Callithrix jacchus: one gene and its partners. The protein of the gene in region 3 purifies or fractionates together with the protein of the main gene of each other region. This does not show direct contact. Links are inferred from orthologs where the notes say so. Each region holds a gene or a part of one and is shown on either strand. Other genes may lie near its edges.

Region 1 (3,397 bases), on a different chromosome or scaffold from region 3:
CATGAACCACCCGCCCAGCGGGGAGTACTTCGGTGAGCTGAGGCTGTGGGGCCGGTGGAAAGCAGGAGGGGAGGCTGGGAGACAGAAGGGACAGCTGATATTGTTTCTGCCTGTCCTCAGGCCGGTGTGGTGGCTGTGGAGAAGATGTGGTCGGGGATGGGGCCGGGGTTGTGGCCCTCGATCGCGTCTTTCACGTGGGCTGCTTTGTGTGTTCTACATGCCGGGCCCAGCTTCGGGGCCAGCATTTCTACGCCGTGGAGAGGAGGGCATATTGCGAGGGCTGCTATGTGGTGAGTGGCTGGGGTTGGGGGGCTGGAGTCAGTGGCTGGAGGCCGGGGCTTCCATCCAAGGTGGGAGCTAGAACATCCAAGCCCAGAGGAGGAACCGTGCTAGAAGCCGGGCCGCTGGAAGCGGTGTACAAACAGGAAGGAATTCTGCAAATACCAAGCAAGTAGCTCAACACTGGTGGCTGGAGGGAAGGATGCAGCTCTTAACGAGCGGGGCGTCTTACAGTTAAAGAGAATGTGTTAGATTCCCACCACACCCACGAGGCAGGTATTACTACCAACTCCTGTTTTCCTTTTTCGAAACAGAGTCTTGCTCTCTCGCCCAGGCTGGAGTACAGTGGCGCTATCTCGGCTCATTGCAAGCTCTGTCTCCCCTGGTTCAAGTGATTCTCGTGCCTCAGCCTCCCGAGTAGCTGGGATTACAGGTGCCTGCCACCACACCTGGCTAATTTTTGTATTTTTAGTAGAGACGGGGTTTCGCCATGTTGGCCAGGCTATTCTTGAACTCCTGGCCTCAAGCAATCTGCCCACTCTGACCTCCCGAAGTGCTGGCATTACAGGCGTGAGCCACTCCAGCCCGATTGCTGCTTTTCTCAGAGTGGTTAAATACTTTGTGTAGTGCTAGGATCTGAACTCAGAATCACATGCAGGGGGCTCCAGAAATAGATGGCTGGGCTGTTGGGGTGCCTGGTGGGCTGCCGTGGCTCCCGCTGGCTGCCAGATTTTCCTGCTTTCCTTCCCAACAGGCCACCCTGGAGAAATGTGCCACGTGTTCCCAGCCCATCCTGGACCGGATCCTGCGAGCTATGGGAAAGGCCTACCACCCTGGCTGCTTCACCTGCGTGGTGTGTCACCGCGGCCTCGATGGCATCCCCTTCACAGTGGATGCTACCAGCCAGATCCACTGCATCGAGGACTTTCACAGGTCAGGCCCGGCCTCCACCTCATCTCACAATGTCTGACCTTTCCTGTCTCATCTCATCTCTCATGCCCCAGGACTGTCTCTTCCTGTTTCCAACCCCTGGCCCTCCTTCATTCTTTGTTATTATTATTTTTTAGAGACAGAGTCTCACTCTGTTGCTCAGGCTGGAGTGCAGTGGCGTGATGATAGCTCACTGCAGCCTCCAACTCCTGGGCTCAAGTGATCCTCCTGCCCCAGCCTCCCATGTAGCTGGGACTACAGGTGCACATGCCACCATGCCTGGCTAGTTTTCTTATTTTTTGTTTCTTTTGACATGGAGTCTCAGTCTGTTGCCAAGGCTGGAGTGTAGTGGCATGATCTTAGCTCACTGCAACCTCTGCCTCCAGGGTTCAAGTGATTCTCCTGCCTCAGCCTCCCAAGTAGCTGGGATTACAGGCACGTGCCACCATGTCCAGCCAGGCTTTTTTTTTTGTATTTTTAGTAGAGACAGGGTTTCATTATGTTGGCCAGGCTAGTCTCAAACTCCTGGGCTCAAGCAATCTGCCTACCTCAGCCTCCCAAAGTGCAGGGATTGCAGGCATGAGCCACTGCACCTGGCCTTCTTTGTTTTTTAATAAAGATAGGGTCTTGCTCTGTTGCCCAGGGTGGTCTTGAAAGCCTGGCCTCAAGTGATCCTCCTGCCTTGGCCTCCCAAAGTGCTGGGATTACAGGCCAGAGCCACTGCGCCCGGCCTCTCTCATTCTCCTTGACATCATCCCTTCCCCAGACCTAAGGCCACGCCTCTGGCCTCTGATTCCCTCCAGTGCCCCACCTTCTCTGGGTCCCATTGTTGGTGCCCTGCAACGCCAGGGCTTGATGGCCTTCTCGGTTCTCTTCCCCTCCAGGAAGTTTGCCCCGAGATGCTCAGTGTGTGGTGGGGCCATCATGCCCGAGCCAGGTCAGGAGGAGACAGTGAGAATCGTTGCTCTGGATCGAAGTTTTCACATTGGCTGTTACAAGTGTGAGGTCAGGGGGCCCCAGCATGTGCAAGGGGTTGGCAATGTCTGGGGTGCTGGGTAGAGCATGAGGGAGGGGGAACACAGAGGTCTCTGGTTGACAGAAATCTGCTTTTTTTTTTGAGATGGAGTCTTGCTCTGTTGTCCAGGCTGGAGTGCAATGGCGTGATCTCGGCTCACTGCAACCTCTGCCTCCTGGGTTCAAGTGATTCTCTTACCTCTGGAGTAGCTGGGATTACAGGCACCCACCACTATGCCCAGCTAATTGTTGCTTCTTTTTCAACAGGAGTGTGGGCTGCTGCTCTCCTCTGAGGGCGAGTGCCAGGGTTGCTACCCACTGGATGGGCACATCTTGTGCAAGGCCTGCAGTGCCTGGCGCATCCAGGAGCTCTCAGCCACCGTCACCACTGACTGCTGAGTCTTCCTAAAAGTACCTGCTGGGTTCTCAGTTCCAGTTCCCATCAGTTGATGGGTCACCCTCCCTGACATCCACTTGTGTGACTTTGTCACCAAATGCTGGCTTCTTTCTCCAATCACAAAATAATAGTCCCTCGAGTTTACAAAACACTTTCCAGTCTGTCGTCTCATCTGATTCTCCCAGGAGCCCATTACAAGCCCAGTCGCTGTTACTGTCTATTTTTACATGTGAAGATGCCAGAGCTGAGAGGTGACTCCCCCAGATTGCATGCTTTTTTTTTTTTTTTTTGAGACGGAGTTTTGCTCGATACCCAGGCTGGAGTGCAATGGCGTGATCTCGGCTCACCACAGCCTCTGCCTCCTGGATTCAGGCAATTCTCCTACTTCAGCCTCCTGAGTAGCTGGGATTATAGGCACGTACCACCATGCCCAGCTAATTTTTGTATTTTTTAGTAGAGACGGGGTTTCACCATGTTGACCACGATGGTCTCGATCTCTTGACCTCGTGATCCACCTGCCTCGGCCTCCCAAAGTGCTGCGATTGATTACAGGCTTGAGCCACTGCGCCCAGTGGTTTTTTTTTTTTTTTTTTTTTTTTTGAGGGAGTCTTGCTCTTGTTGCCCAGGTTGGAGTGCAATGGTGTGATTTTGGCTCACTGCAACCTCTGTCTTGTGGGTTCAAGTGATTCTCCTGTCTCAACCTCCCAAGTAGCTAGAATTATAGGCACCCGCCACCATGTCCAGCAAATTTTTGTATTTTTAGTAGAGACAGGGTTT
Region 2 (4,143 bases), on a different chromosome or scaffold from region 3:
AAAACCAGCCTGAGCAACGTAGTGACACCCCGTCTCTACAAAAAAATACAAAAATTAGCCAAGTGTGGTGGGAAGTGCCTGTGTTTGCAGCTACTCGAGAGACTGAGGCAGGAGAATCTCTTGAGCCTGGAAGGTGGGAGTTGCAATGAGCCTGGAAGGAGTGAAAGAAATTCTACCTCAGGAAAAAAAAAAAGCTCCAAGTAATTCTGAGATGGGTGCCATGGATGACCTTCAGATGGTCCACGGACTCTCCTAAAACTGTAGCCACAAAGCACAGGTACATATGGAAGTTTTCCAGGCCAGCAGATTTCTTAAGTTTCACCAAGAAGTAGTAATCCCCAAAAGGTTGTAAAGTAGCACACATATGCTGAGGGTAAAGCTTCATGATTTTGCTCAAAATGGTACCACGTTCTCCCAACCAACCTGGATCAGAATCTGTTACTTTTACTTTCTTCATTTGCCCTCTCATCAAATTTTGGCTATTCTACTTCCTTTCTTCCTTTCCATTCGCGTGCACCACACCTCAGACTACAACACTTGGGAGGTCTTTCTACCTCCACACGCTCCCTACCTCAACTCACACTACAGGCTGCTATCCCACTAATCCCTCTGAAACAAAGTGTTCAAATTGTTTTACTCCCAATTCAAAATCATCTGTGGAAGCCCCACCACCTAGTAAATCCAAGGTTCATAAGCCTGGCATTAAAAACAACCCATAAACTGTTCCAAATTTCTACTTCATGTTTTATCACCCTTTATCCAAATACAAATAACACTATGTTCCACCCAAACATAATTACTTGCCTCTCCCCAAACAGGAACTCTGTGCTCTCTTAGAGATCCCTCTCTGCTTGGATTACCTTTCCTGCCTATCCAAAGTCATAGTGATCCTTCAAAACCACGATTTCAGAAGCCAGAAGCTCTACGAACTAACCCTCTTATCCCTACCTTGCCAAGTAAGATCTGAGCTCTACTCTCTTTGAAGTTGACTTCTGAGAGGATTTTGGTACTGTTTACGAAACGTATATATTAAAAGACAAATAGGGCATTTGTTTATAGCACTATCTACCTAATTAGTGTAAAAGCAGAAACTGCTAATCAGTTCATTTTTGTATTCCCCAAAATATCCCCCACAATTATGCAGTAAATGCCTAACATCTGTACAAGGAAGTAAAGGAAATTTCAGCCACCATGGGGTAAACAGCAAAGATTACTATCTCTTTGAAGGCAGAGACTTTATCTGTGACATTCTCTATTAGGCCGACTTCCAAAAAACATAACTAGTAATTATTGCTTTTGAAAATCCTGATGTCATAGGTCTTACCAGCAGTTTTGCATTTTAAGGTAAGAACTATCTGAAAATGTTAATAAGCTAGGTCCCAAAGAACTATTTCACATACTTTACAATTTTCAATCTGAGTAGATCCAAACACTTGGCCATTATACTTTCCATTTTTAAAATATTAACTATTTATGAAAGATGATCATTTCTAGTCGCAGCTAATTTCCAACTTGATAGCTAAAAACAAGTCACACAATACAAGAACGACTTTCTTTGCTTGCATAATACACACAGATTTGGTGAGGCAGGATTTACACATACACATGAACTCTTGTAAAAAAATAAATAAATAAAACCTGCAGATAACTGTAAACCCATGTATTTCTGGCAAAATCACCAAACGGAGAAAACAAAGACAACTGTGGATATTATTTTTTTCCCCATTACTATTACCAGTAACATTTTAAAGCAGAAACACAAAATCTTGTTCCACATTAACCTACATACAAAAAAAAAACCAAAACTGTTAAACTTTTCAAATAGAAAAAGAAAGCAAAAGCCCCTGGAAAATATTTTACTGGAAGAGTGAATGTCAAAATTATAACAGATGCTACTCTTCTTTGGTAATGAAGGTTTCATATAATTACCAGAGCAAAGAAAACTCCAAATCCACAGAGCAGAGAAGACTGTGAACAAGACTGATCATTTAAAGGTCGTAAAGGTAAGGGGCAAACAAGAAAATGAAAAATTTTATAAAAGAAAACGAAGATGAAAGGTAAGTGTGTAAGTCACAGACAAGATAAGGACTGGTAAAAAGGACTGGTAAAATCTGCAAGGTCACCGGGACCTACCAGGTCACAAAAGGTAGAGGTGGGGGTTGCGCTGGGGGGGCAGGGAGGGGAGCTGCAGAGTCGGTGAAGAACCGGGAGTGACAAAAACACGTCAGAAAAAGGCATTCCAAGGCTGGAGTCCTTGGTTTGCAACATTGAAATTGGGGTGAAAACTCAGGGCACGGGCAATGAGTCCCTATATTTGTGTTCTGAGTGAGGTAGGAAAAGGTGAAGGAAACCGAAGAGAAGGCTGAGGAAGAACCGCGGCTGCAGAGTCACGGAAACATTTAGCTCCGCTCAGGATCACTGGCACAGGCCTGTGCCAGGGCCAACTCTGGGCAAGACCCGTGACCCCACCCCAGAAAACTCCCGGCTCCCGAGCTGGAGAAGGCGGAGAAGGCAGACAAGGCAGGGTGGACCGTCCTCTCACTGCCCCTTGGAGGGTCCCGCCCGCAGGCGGACGGCGCCGGGTGCCGGGCACCGCGGCCAAGGCTCGGGGCCCGCGCCCCCTCCCTCCCCGCCCGCCTCCCCAGTCCTGCGCCCCCAGCCCCGCGCCGCGCAGTCCTTACCCGGCGCGAAGCTGTCGGCTCCCGGCAGCCGGGCGGCCACGGCAGGGACACCTCCTCCTGCGGCGGGCGCCCTCACCCTTCCGCGCCCAAGATCGCCATCTCTTAGCAGGCGCGGCGGCGGCAGCCACCCAGGCGTCGGCCCCGGCAGCCCAGGCCGCCTCAGACACTCGGAACCCGCACGCCGAGCTCGCCGACACCCGACCCTCCCCCCACCCCCACCCCGGCCACGCGCCACCCCCAGGCGACCCCACACCTCCCTTCCTCGGGAGCGCGCTGCGTGGCAGCGTCGCCGGCGCCGCGCCCCGAGCGCGCGCCTCCCCGCCGGCCCCGGCACCGCGCGCGACGCCGCGACAGCCCAAAGCCTCCAACTCCGGACCCGGAATCGGCCTCCCCCGAGCATGCGCAGCGAGGGCGCTCGGAGGCTGCCTTAGAAAACTCCGCTCCTCCGGGTCCTGAGAGCGGTCGAGCAAATGGGAGGGACAGCCAATAGCAGGGAGGGGCGGGGCCTGAACCTGTGGAAGGGGCGGGGCCGCCGCTGAGATTTGGGAAGAGGCTGTTCTAAGACCGCGCTGGGCACTGAGAACACGACTTTCCGGTAGGCGGCCGATCCCAGAGCAAGACTTCTTAAGGTCCTGGGGCAAAAGTAGGCTGTTCATAACTACTCCCTGACCTAGCTGAGGGTTTGACTTAGAACCCATTGCAAGAGTAAATAACTGCATTTATCCATGGTCATACCCGAAGACTTGCAGTCCATTATTTATTAATCAAAACCTTCATTCCCCTGCCCTCACTCACATCAGCCCAGTGATAAAGCTAATACTTCCTGAGCAAGTACACGTGTTGGCACAATTAACCCATACAGCAATCCCATAAAGTAGCGTCTACTGTCTCCATTATACAGAAAAGTCAACTGGTTTAGGAAGTGCTGTTGGTTATGTGTAGCTTTTAGAAGAAAGGCTAATGTGCAAATAGAAGTCAGTGGAACCGCATTACTTAACAGATGATCCGGTTTTCTACTTCAGAGAAGCAGAAGCCTTCAGGCATGGATTTCTACAATTTTTCCCCAATCAACTCCCCCATAGATTATCCCTACGTCCACACTTGTTTTCCTTCTGTCTGGGAGGCTAGATGTCCCTGCCCACACCACTGCCTGCTCTCCACTGAGAGCAGTCCTTTGGCACTTTTTTTTTTTTTTTTGACAGAGTTTCACTCCGTCACCAGGCTGAAGTGCAGTGGAGCGATCTCCGCTCACTGCAACCTCTGCCTCCTAGGTTCAAGCAATTATTCTTCCTCAGCCTCCCAAGTAGGTGGGACTACAGGTTTGCACCACCACGCCTATCTAATTTTTGTATTTTTAGTAAGACGGGGTTTCACCATGTTGACCAGAATGGTCTCCATCTCTTGACCTCGTGACCCACCCGCCTCGACCTCCAAAAGTTCTGGGATTACAGGTGTGAGCCAC
Region 3 (3,646 bases):
ATGATGCTGTTATGCTTTTTTATATTTTGCTTCAAGTAGGTTAAAAGTGCTTAAATCCTATTTATTTATTACACTGAATAGTAAAGAACTGCATCTTCCACAAGGGACTTTCCTGATTCTCGGCTGAATTCTTCTTTCTTTTAAATTTAAGAAACCAGAACATCTCAGGATTTGCCTTGACAGAGTGCCACCTTCCCAACTCCAGAATCACTCTGAAGAATCACGGCCAAGATATGTAAGCTGAATCCACACATACTCCAACCTGGAGAATTATATTAGGGCTGAGAACACGTCCCTGTATACTCCTCTCAGATATCTCTCGAGCAAACTGAACAAATGCACCCCTAGGGTGCCGCATCACCCACAGTACTTTTAAAGGGCGACTAAAGCAATCCTGGTTAAAGTTATGTAATCTTAACTGTCTTTTCCTTAATACTGCATTACTAAAACATTTCATTCATCTTTTGCATTCCTTTCCACAAAGCCCTGTGAATTTGCCTTTTCACTTCATCTATAGTAATTCATTATCTTCATTAAAACTACTAAAATTCAAGCGGATCGCCATTTCACATATAAAGTTACATGTATTCAAAAAAAGACAAAAAGAGAGTGACATGGGGGAATGAAGAAAGTTAAAAGAACAAGAGGAGCCGAAAAGCATGGGAAGCGATGAGGGAAAGCACCGCCAGGGCAGAAGCATGGAGCGCCCGTCGAAGGCGCGGTTCCCTGCTTGCACTACTCTCCGAGCGACTTACCCCCAGGGGCGGGAGCCCTTCCACGATGTTCTTTTTCCCAGAGAGGAGGTCCGACACTGGCCTCTTCTTCAAAGAGTCCCTCCGGGCACGGTAGCGGCCCGACGTGGTGAGGTCTGACTCTGACATGGAGGGAGTCAGCAGCCCGTCTCTCCGGGGCCGCTGGGCCTCTGCTGTCATGCGGACTGGGCTGCTGTCCGTTGTCCTCTTCTCTGCATCCAGGACGTGGACCTTGGGCTCGAGGATGTGCAGGGGCCTGGCGAGCAGGGAGCGGGGGCAGCGGGGTGGGTCCTGGGCCAGGCCCGGCCGGGGCTCGCCGGCACGTGCAGGGGGCGCTCGGGCCCCGCTCTCCTCCTCGAAGTCCTCGTCCTCGTCCTCCTCGCTGCTGTGGATCAGCATGGTGGCGTCCGACAGGGACTTCTTATGGCCGTATCTCAAGCCCTCCGGCTCCTCTGGCCCTTCCCGCTTTGTCCGCTCGGCAAAAATGCTGGGCTGGGAGCCCGCCGAGAGGGCTCGCGGCGCCACTTCCGCCGCCGACGCGGACAGGGTCCGCTCCTTGAGCCGCAGGCCCTCCAGGCCGTGGCTGAGCCCGGCCACCTCGATGCTGTTCCGCTTGTGCAATTGCGCGTGGCGCGCGGCGGTGAGGGGCTCGCTGACCTCCTGCAGGGAGTGCGCCACGGGCAGGCTGTCCTCCTGGAACGTCTGCACCGAGTGGTGCACACGCCGCGTGATGAGGTCGGGGTTGCTGCTGCTTATGTACAGATGACGGGACAGGTCGGGCGTGCTGTTGGCGGGCCGGGGGGGCGGATAGGGCGGGGGCGGCCGGTACACCTGCGTCCGCATGATGTTGGGGGCCGGGTAGTCCTGCGCCTGCAGCTGTGCGTTGGTCAGCTCGGGCACGCTGACCGCGCCCACCACGGGCCGCCGCTCGGCGGGGTAGGGGTAGGGAGACGGGCTGTGGAAGCTGTAGCTCAGGCTGAACGGGCAGTGAGCGGCCGGCGGCGAGGGGAGCTGCGCGTGCTCCCGGATCTCGGGCTGGCTGTAGACCAGCGCCGCGGGCCGGCTGTAGGCGTACGAGCTGCCGATGTTGAGGTTTCGCAGCGAGTGGCTCTGCCGTTCCGCATGCACCAGGCCCCGGTTGAGCTGCTTCATCACAGTCTCATAGTCTGGGGTGGGGCGGTAGGACGGGGGTATCAGAGCGCTGTGCCGATGGGATGGGACGTAGTCGGGCCTCATGACGTCACTCCCGGTGATGCTGGGGTTGGACGACATCGGCGAGGCCTGCAAGTAGGGCTGAGGATTATTTAAGGAGTTGGTGCTGTGCGCACTGTAGACACTGCCGTTACGGATCCGACCGTTGAGGTCAATCTGGGCTCTATCCAAGCTTGTCTGAGAGTGACAGTAGTATCCGTTCTGGTTGGGCACAAAGAGGTTATCTAGAAAAAATGAGTTCCAAATGAGATTTTTTAAAATTGGACTAATTACTCCAACCAAACATTGAGATCAGCCCTTAACCTCTGATGACACTTTTAACACAGATTTTAAAAATCCATGCTAAAATGACCTAGCTTTGGCCACAGGCACTGAGTGACCCTGGCAGCTTCGGCTTCCTCCTCTATAGGATGGGGATGGTTCTGCCTGCTTAAAGGGTGGCATTCATTGGGTGACAAAGTGAGACCCTGTGTTAAAACACACACACACACACACACACACACAACCAGACTAGCAGAGTTTTTGGAACTCTGGGGAAGTTGGAGGCAGAGATACCATTCAAGGCACTGAGCCGGGGACCTTGCCTTCCTTCCCTGGGTAGGGATGTGGCCTTGCTGCTGCTGAGTCAGTTCAAGCACCGGCTGTCTGTAAGCATTTCCTTAACTGGGATTTTTGGATTGTTTGTTCTTCCCAAATGAACATGAGAGCTTTGACTGTAAAGGGTAATGGTATGGCAGGATATGAGCGTCCAGCACAGCAGCACTGTGTCACCAGCAGCCACACAGCCCATAAAGTGTCCAGAAGCCAGGAGGAGCCATACTAAAACAGCTGCAGCTGCCTCCTGCCCTGGCCCCCATGTTTCAGGAAGATCCAGACCTACGGCTAACAATCAATTTAACATCATCTTACAGTAGCTCTGCATGTGTCCCTGCCCAAGGATGACAGGGGCCATGTTTCTTCCAATTTGTAGTTCACTTGCCATCTGTTACCGAGAGTGCTTTCTAACACTAGAAACTCAGCAGCCAAGTCCTTCAAATAACAATTTCCTCTGAAAGGCATTCTTTTAGTGCTTCACAAGCTCCGTGATGGTTTAAGTGGCCATGTGATACTTAGGTGATACACCACAATCCAGGGGTTACACTTTACTCTGGTGGGACATGCGGCTGTGAGGAAACAGCACTCAAACTTCCATGGTATTTCTTCTGCTGACACACAGCACTTCCTTGTCACTATGCTTTCCTCGTCTATACAAAGCTCCATTATGGTTCCACCTCTGCAATCCCCCTTTTCTCACTGCTGTCACAACTCGGGCCCCGACCCCAGCTTGTCTGAACTAGCTCCATATCCACGTAGTCTCGTTGCTTCTGCACCACACAGACCAGCCAGTCATCTATAAGACTGATAGGTGGAAAAGGCAATACTGAGAACAGAAGGGGGAAAAGGTGGCTAGAATACAGGCAGGAAAAGGGGAAAGGTATACATGAAATCACTGTAATTCAAGGAAGAGAGAAAAGGTAAAGGGTTACAGGAGTCTAGAGGAAGGAATGGTCATTTCCAGCCTGGGTTGGGTTGATGGGGACAAGAAAGAGAGAACCAAGAACCACCTCACAGAAGATATGGCAGTCAAGGGGACTTGAGGGGCAAGTGGGTGGGGTAGGCATGTGCAGCTTCCATCAGAAGTG

Evidence for each region.
Region 1: the proteins of PTPN21 (region 3) and TRIP6 purify together in Homo sapiens (affinity purification with mass spectrometry; 3 studies listed by BioGRID and IntAct, with this or other methods). This does not show direct contact. The link is inferred for Callithrix jacchus from reciprocal best matches to the Homo sapiens genes PTPN21 and TRIP6.
Region 2: the proteins of PTPN21 (region 3) and WWP1 purify together in Homo sapiens (affinity purification with mass spectrometry; 3 studies listed by BioGRID). This does not show direct contact. The link is inferred for Callithrix jacchus from reciprocal best matches to the Homo sapiens genes PTPN21 and WWP1.

What each region holds. Positions count from the first base shown.
Region 1 is NC_133503.1:12,852,388-12,855,784, reverse strand, and holds the end of TRIP6 (thyroid receptor-interacting protein 6), read left to right. Parts: coding exon 1-32; intron 33-120; coding exon 121-290; intron 291-1,033; coding exon 1,034-1,212; intron 1,213-2,093; coding exon 2,094-2,214; intron 2,215-2,490; coding exon 2,491-2,622; 3' UTR 2,623-2,771; downstream 2,772-3,397. UniProt on the Homo sapiens protein: Relays signals from the cell surface to the nucleus to weaken adherens junction and promote actin cytoskeleton reorganization and cell invasiveness. Involved in lysophosphatidic acid-induced cell adhesion and migration.
Region 2 is NC_133517.1:40,734,686-40,738,828, forward strand, and holds the start of WWP1 (NEDD4-like E3 ubiquitin-protein ligase WWP1), read right to left. Parts: upstream 2,851-4,143; 5' UTR 2,682-2,850; intron 1-2,681. UniProt on the Homo sapiens protein: E3 ubiquitin-protein ligase which accepts ubiquitin from an E2 ubiquitin-conjugating enzyme in the form of a thioester and then directly transfers the ubiquitin to targeted substrates.
Region 3 is NC_133509.1:123,329,064-123,332,709, forward strand, and holds part of PTPN21 (tyrosine-protein phosphatase non-receptor type 21), read right to left. Parts: intron 2,189-3,646; coding exon 756-2,188; intron 1-755.